Linked DNA regions of Ovis aries. The protein of the gene in region 1 interacts with the protein of each later gene in a pairwise test. Links are inferred from orthologs where the notes say so. Each region holds a gene or a part of one and is shown on either strand. Other genes may lie near its edges.

The links. The genes of interacting proteins can lie anywhere in the genome.
Region 2: the proteins of HOMEZ (region 1) and RNF8 interact in binary tests that used the Homo sapiens proteins (3 or more experiments, as listed by UniProt). The two-hybrid records come from large-scale screens. The link is inferred for Ovis aries from reciprocal best matches to the Homo sapiens genes HOMEZ and RNF8.

The regions. Positions count from the first base shown.
Region 1 is NC_056060.1:21,427,907-21,432,087, reverse strand, and holds the start of HOMEZ (homeobox and leucine zipper protein Homez), read right to left. Parts: upstream 2,813-4,181; 5' UTR 2,701-2,812; coding exon 2,661-2,700; exon of another isoform or gene 2,490-2,660; intron 2,364-2,489; exon of another isoform or gene 2,056-2,363; intron 1-2,055. UniProt on the Homo sapiens protein: May function as a transcriptional regulator.
Region 2 is NC_056073.1:11,332,335-11,335,849, reverse strand, and holds part of RNF8 (E3 ubiquitin-protein ligase RNF8), read right to left. Parts: intron 3,412-3,515; coding exon 3,304-3,411; intron 1,107-3,303; coding exon 902-1,106; intron 1-901. UniProt on the Homo sapiens protein: E3 ubiquitin-protein ligase that plays a key role in DNA damage signaling via 2 distinct roles: by mediating the 'Lys-63'-linked ubiquitination of histones H2A and H2AX and promoting the recruitment of DNA repair proteins at double-strand breaks (DSBs) sites, and by catalyzing 'Lys-48'-linked ubiquitination to remove target proteins from DNA damage sites.

The DNA.
Region 1 (4,181 bases):
ACTGCATACATCCACATTTCTTCAGTAACACAAAACACAAGTTGTGAAAGACTTTGATACAGAATGGTGCTTTAAAATTAGGACACAGCAGTAGAGCTGGTACCTCCCTGGAAGAATCTGGCTTTGCTATAGGAGGAAACTAGAACCAGTTCATGAGAACTATAACAAAGAGGGTAGATCCTACAGTAATCAAAAGCACAGTGAAGGCACTATAGCATCTTGTGTCCTTGTACCTCATTTGGAGAAAGTAGAAAAAGAAAGAAATCAAAGCTGGAGAAATAAGGACTCCTCTGGGCAGAGGTGTCAGTGATGGTGGTACTATCAATTCTGAATTTACTAAATCTGTTACCATGCCAGATATGTCCTACTGCTACTTAAGTCACCAATAAAAAGTACAGAGTCAAGGCCTGTACTGAAATAAGTCAAAGCCTTATTTCCCTTTGGGCTTTCCATATCCCTGGACAAAAGGCAGAAAAGTATTAATGGGCTGCCTTAAACTTCTAGTGTAGGTGTTCACACAAGGTTAGGAAAAAGAGATCTTCAGAACCTGAGCCTAGGTTGGGAATTTCCTGGTGGTCCACTGGGTGGGACTCCACACTTTCACTGCAAGACGCATGAGTGTGATCCCCTGGTCAGGAGACTTAAGATCCCACATGTGGCATGGTGTGGCCCAAAACAAAAATCTTGAGCCTAGGCTTATGGTTAAAACAGGTGACAGTTCAAGTGAAGACCAGATATGAGCCTGCTAAGTTATCTAAGTCTTTATTCAGAGAACTGAAGAATGTTCCTGAGTGAGATGTGTTTTCGTGAGTTTTCAGGGCCTTAAAGGACATTTAGTGATACTCAGTTCATGTGCTTCTCACTTTTTGGATCATGACTCTCTTTGACAATAGAAGTTAAAGGTTCTCAGAAAGTTACGACTTACCTCGCATCCCGCCCCAAACATTGAAACTTACAGATTATAAATTATTATCTCAGGGGATTTACTGATTGTCCAGAAGCCCGTTAGAAACTCTGTCCTATGTCCTCCCAACTTAGTAAAGGCATGGTCGTAATTGCTTTAAGAAAACAGTTTATGAATGAATGGAACAAGTGGTTGGAAGGCTGAAAGAGAATGTAAATTAGTTTAGAAGGGACTAGGTACTAGTGCTATTAGCTGGACAGAAGCGAAAGATGTTCAGTTGGTTTAGGAGCTTGGTTTAACTGATCCCCACTGGATTACATAATCAATACCCACAGTGCACTGGACACTAGAGGCTGGTAGCCTAGTCTCTAGCATGGCAAAGTCATCTACTTCCTTCAGCTGCCCTATGTGCTGAGGCCAGTTATGTGTGATTCCAAATCTGCTTATGCCCCTTGTTTTTCTCTATATAATTAAACATCCTATAAACCTATGAAAATCAGTGCATTAAGAATTGGTTCTGAAAAAAAAAAGTCAAATGCTTTGGAAAGACATAATACAAAGAAATGCACATTAAAAAAAAATTGTTGAGTTGGGAGAAGGCAAGAAAACTGTAAAAGACTGGAGGGGCAGGAGACTTAAAAATCTCAAAAGTATTCTGCATTCATATTGCTTCAAAAGTGTTTAAATTCAGTCTCCACTTTAAAGAAACCAAACCTGGAAATCACAGATGATGATGCAGTGGTTCCAGTCTGACTGCATATTAGAAAAATTCCCCGGGGAAACTTAACCCACGCTATCCACCTCGTTCTGATTTACTTAGCCTGGATTGGGGCAGATGAAAGTAGTTTATTTTAAAGTTCTCAGGGTGCAGCCAGATTAGAGATTTGCTTATGTAGTTGATATTAGAAAGACAATTGGGACTGCCAATCAGCAACACAAAGAAAACGCTGGGACACTTACCCAAGAAATTGGTGAGATGAAAGTACTTTTAATGACAATGCTTAGGATATGTATGCATCATTTTAAAAATTCCCTACTTTCACTGGCTTACTTTCAGTTACTGCCACCTACCTATCCTCAGCATAAAAAGCCCTTCAAATGTATGGTGAGAAGAGGGTTCATATAAAATATATCATCTGGGTCCACATTACCAAATAGGTCTCAGCTTGAGTCTTCTTTCAGTTTAGAAGTCTCTGATTAGGAGGCAACACCAGGAACCTTTGAGGACTCAGGTTTTCACTTTTCTGGTTGGTTTTCTGAGTATGGCTGGGTAGGGGTCAGAAGGGGCAGTTTCTCTCAAACCTTTCATTCCCAAAGGCCATGCTCCCCAGGAATAAGGCCAGGTTTCTGTACGTGTGTTGAAGTCGCCAGGAGGCAGTCATGGAGGGGAGGAGGGGAGGCCTGGGAAGGAAACGTTTCTCCTATCCTCCATTTCGCAGGCAGTCTAGAAGGCTCCAAACTGGGTCAGAGAACAAAAAGTTGCTGCACTTGGGGCAATGAGCCCCAGGGAGCAGGCAAATCTCAACCCTCCCCTCGCCAAGGGCGTCCCAACCCGGCCTTCCCCTCCTCCTATACACCCACTCACCCTCCTCCAGTTAAAACAGGGAACCGAAAAGTCCTGAGGAGAAAGGAGAGAGAACCGGACCACTTCGAACCTAGAATTCTCCTCTTCCCTCCAGCGCGGAGATGGGGCTCCGGAGGTCGGAGATCGTACAGGGACTGCAAGGGGAAGTCGAAAGGGCTGGGGATCACTCACCGCAGTCCAGCCCGGGCGGCGGCTCCCAGCCTCGCACCATGGGCCGGGGGGAAAGGGGGAGAAAGGGCAGGGGGCCTCCGGGGTGAGAGTGGGGTTGCTGCCCGGCGCGGCCTGCTCCGAGCCCACCCGCGCGGAAGGCCAGGACCGGGACTGCCCCCCCTCCCCGCCCCCGAGAGCGCGCCCGTCTAGCCCAGCCCTGCTCCAGCGAGTTGGAGGCGGGGCGGATGGGTGGGGTGGGCTCCAGGGGTGGTGCCAAGGTGGCCCGAGTTTTGATTGGTGGGCGCAGGCAGGCGGGCCCTCGCGGAAAGGGCTGGGCCGGCCATTGGCTGAGTGGGTCTCGGTTGAAGTCGGCTATTGGGTGCGTGGGCCTCAGCCGGGATGCCTATTGGCTGCATGGGACAGGGAAGATGTCCCCCCCAGGCTAGGATGTCGTGAACAGTACCCCCTCCCACCCTCGCCGTATGGGCGCCGGATCTTCGGTGTTACGCTGGGCAATGTTCCGCCTGGAATTCCCCAAGAAATTCAAAGCAGTTTGCTGAACTGTCCAAACCGCCTACAACTACTCCCTATTTGTTTCCTCCGGAAGGAAGACGTTTTCAGTATCCCTTTGCCAGCTTCGTACAGGAGACAAGCGTTCCCAGCCTGGGGTCAAACCGTCGTCAGCAGCGTCAACTGTAAACGAAGCGCCTACAGCAACCGTTAACTTGTTCTAGAGATGGATCAAGTGTCTTGCTGCTAAGTCGCTTCAGTCATGTCCGACTCTGTGCGACCCCATAGACGGCAGCCCACCAGGCTTCCCCATCCCTGGGATTCTTAAGGCAAGAACACTGGAGTGGGTTGCCATTTCCTTCTCCAAGGCATGAGAGTGAAAAGTGAAAGTGAAGTTGCTCAGTCGTGTCTGACTCTCGGCGACCCCATGGATTGCAGCCCGCCAGGCTCCTCTGTCCATGGGGTTTTCCAAGCAAAAGAGTACTGGAGTGGGGTGCCATTGCCTTCGTCAAGTGTCTTGACCACCCAGAAAAATGAGGATCCTAGCAGCCTGGCACCTTCCGCCGCTTCCTGGGTCCAGTTGTCACCAGACAGGTGTTCTCAAATATGAAGTCCTAGAGGGGGTCACCTCATTAGGTCTTGCCAGCTCCCCTCAGGCCCTTCCTCTGCCCTAGTAAAGACTACCTGGAGTTGTGCCTCATGTTGGGGGGGCCTTGGTTTTGCTGTCAAGAAAGGGATTATAATAAAACGGGCTTTCCAACGACTCAGTATTCCACACATTCCAAAATTCTAGGCCAAAAGTTTGTATAGTTAGGATTCTCAGTCTTCTGACCAAAACTTGGGAACAATTCTTTCTGAAATGACTCTTCTGTTCTCATGATAGTCTTCTGTTGTTTATTTAGGTCACAATAGCTTATATACTTACAATAATTTATTATGCCCTGTATTCCACAGATCTCGCCACTCCCCATATACCCCGTAAAAAGTCAACCATCATAACTGATACTTCTGATTCTTCATTGCTCCACGCTA
Region 2 (3,515 bases), on another chromosome or scaffold:
GAGCAGGCCCCAGGTGTGATGAGATCACTTGTGTTAGAGGAGGAGATACTCTCTATGGAAGTATGGTTCCTTGAGGAAACTCACCCACCCTCACTTCCCTAATCTCTTTATTCAAACTCTCTCTGGGAAACTTGTTTATTAGGACACCCAAAGTTAATGTGCTTCCCTGGTGGCTCAGAGGTTAAAGCATCTGCCTGCAATGCGGGAGACCCGGGTTCGGTCCCTGGGTCGGGAAGATCCCCTGGAGAAGGAAATGGCAACCCACTCCAGTATTCTTGCCCGGAGAATCCTATGGAGGGAGGAGCCTGGTGGGCTACAGTCCATGGGGTCACAAAGAGTCTGACACAACTGAGTCAAACTAGTCCTAGTGAAGTTAACATAGTAGGATTAAATTAATCTCTTTTTGGCTTAATGTTATGCCCGATTTGTGTAGTTAAGCTGTGACTCTTACAGATAGAACCTATATATGTTTTCTTCATATGTTTTGGCATTTTCCAAGCTGTGAATCTTTGACTTGTACACATCCTATTTATAATTTATAATTTATTGTGTACCCAACCCAAGATTTCTGCAACCTACCGAGAGCAACAGACAGCAACTAAACTGTCTTGAACGACAGCCCCATCTAGTGACTAACACTGTAAGTTGTCCACCCCTGTGTTTTTCTAATCCCATCTTTTCTTATCCCTTAACTAAGACACAAACACCTAAGCCTCCCCATTCCCTGCTGCTCAAATATTCCATTCTGCCTCAACTGTTCCTTACATGTCTATTACCTTTAGCTTCCTTTACTTTCCCCCATTACTTCCACCTCCTTCTTAAGCTCAAGAACCGTTTACCTGACTCTTCTGGATCCAAAAAAGTCTGTTGAGGGGACTCACCTCTTTCCATACTCACTCACCTTTTCGTTCCCTGATGAGGACAATTCGTCGTTCTTTCGCTTCTGAGTTCAGATTGTCTACCATCTTACTAATGCAATTGTCCAGAACCAGGGAGCGGGTTTTGGACTTGATGTCCTTCCGACAAATGGGGCATTCTACTTTCCTCTTCATCCACTCATTGATACAGTAGGAGCAGAAACTATGGGCACAGTTCAAGGTGACAGCCTATAACGGAAATATGAACACACACATCAGAACTGTGACGCTCACTGCCCCAGGGCCGCTGTGATCTCAGAGTTAGGAAAGCAGTTAGTTCTCAAGACGAAATAGAAATTAAACCATAACTTCATCTAGAGGCCTTACAAAGGGTATCAGAATCATTCCTAGGAACTGTAAATTTTAAGTTTCATGTTAGATTATTTGTTTTCTCTCTCAAAGTTAAGCTCATAAACTCAGGCTCCAGGTAGGCTGATTTGTCTTATTTTGTTCCACCAACTCAATTCACACTGCCAACGTGGCTTAGCTATCCCGCAAATAAATGCCACTGGACTTAAGCAGGACTAGAAAACATGCGCATGTCTGATACACATGCATCACTAATTCTCTCAGGAGAAACAGCTGTATGTCCTAATGGTACAGTAAAACCTCGATTTTAACTCACACAGTGAATACTCAGTACACAGAATGTTAGGAGGCCCTTATCTCTACTCAAAAGAAGCTTTAAAAAGTATACGTAAAAGCACTTAGGCTAGGGAAAAAGAATCTAAAAACAAAATAGGAAAAAATGTAATGGGTTCAGCTGACAGTGCCTTAAGTAATATCAATAAGCCTATGAGAAGAGAGAAAGCAGAAAAGGGCCCGTATCTGAGGTGCTCCTGAGCAACCCCAATGGTCAGCTTTCTGCCAAGGTCCTTATCACTTTTCAAAACATAAACCATACTCTTCGTTTCTCTTGTTTCTCTTGTATCTCCTAAGATACAACTTTTTCTGGAGCTAAAAAGTTTTCTTTCTTGCTTTTGGGAAAGCAGGGGGAAATAACACAAACTTTGTATTATTTTCCAAATGCCAAGTGGAAGCCAGAAGGCCAACTAGGAAACATTCTCAGTAAAGAATGAGACATACTAAAAAAAGAAAAAGTAAAAATAAAGAATGAGACAAAATTCTCATAAACAGGACTAAAAACCTGCTGACTAAAATGAAATCTCTAACCCAACACTGATTTTAAAAGAGGACCAGCAGGGAAGGTCAGCACATGCTGTAAACCAAACAAAGATCAGGTTATTTGTCTCTTACATGTTGTGCAGACGCTCCATGTTGGCTAACTCATCACTTATTCCGACCCCTTTCCTTGTCGTCTTCTATTACGGTGCATAAGTCATGTCGAAACAGTACTAACTGAGTTTCTCCAAAGTAGGGAATCAAATGACTACAAACTATGGGGGAAATTATGATCTGAAGTCAAAGCAGATCCAAAGCAAAAGAAACAGGTCTATCCAGGACAGATTTTTCAGGAGGCTAATAGACCCAATCTCCCTAAAGGCCACCAGAAAAAAAGGAAGCTGTGTGTGTATGCGTTTTCTTTTTAAATGAGTCTGAAAAGCACTATCATTTAACAACTTTAGTCTAACACTTGTTGTGTAAGATGAACTGGACACAAGTGGTAGAATTTGCGAAAATAAGAGAGTTTATGCAAAAAGAAGACAGGATAACAAATGAAATCCTAGGCGTGATGTTTCATTTTCATAAGGAGCCTCCGAGTCCCTGAAAAATGCTCCATTTGGCCACTGAATCCCGTGAGCATACCTCAATGACATTTACCCCCTTGTTCAAAGGCTGCACTGCACGCCCACTCTCAGCACTGTGTCCATTCAGAGCAAAGAAAGACTAGCTTTATTGAGTAGCTTTATTCTGATACTTCAAATTTCTAATGCCATCTAATTCTGGATTCTGCCAGAATCAAATGGATCCCAGGAGTTAAAAAAAAAAAAAAAACCTTCAGGAGCTCAACACTAGGCAAAAAAAAAAACCCCGCAAAACCCACAAAACCCAACAGCTCATAGTTGTCGGCAATGTAGGAAACATATGACATTCTGACCTGTGGGAGGGTGGGGCAGCCCCTAGATGGTTCTTCAAAACCAAAGTGTTTTTCCCTCAACAACAAAAAGATAAAGGCTTTATTATAGCCCCAAACACTGATTCTGCCAAAAAAAGAACTCAAGAACAAATGAAGTAAGAAAAAAGCCAGCGGAGGCAAGTGAGAAGTGGCCACCTCCAGCAGCCACTTTGAAGTCAAATAGCTACAGTAAGTTCCTGGAGGAAAAATCTCTTCAGAATGTTACCCTAGAGCAAAAGCAGTCTGTGTAGCTGAGGCTCCATTCAGGGGTAGGAGAGTGAGAAGGCGTGAGCCACTACTCATCATTACCTCAACGAAGTATTCTGAGCAAATAATACACTGGAGCTCATTCTCTAGCACGTCATTCATGTGGCTAAGAACTTCCTCCTTCTGTGCTTGCACCTTCTCCTTCTCTTCCTGCAAAGACATACAACCCCACCTGTCATTCGGGAGAACTAACAAGAATGCAAAATAGGACAGAGCAGGATTAATAGTATGCAGGAGGATTCAGAAAGAATCTA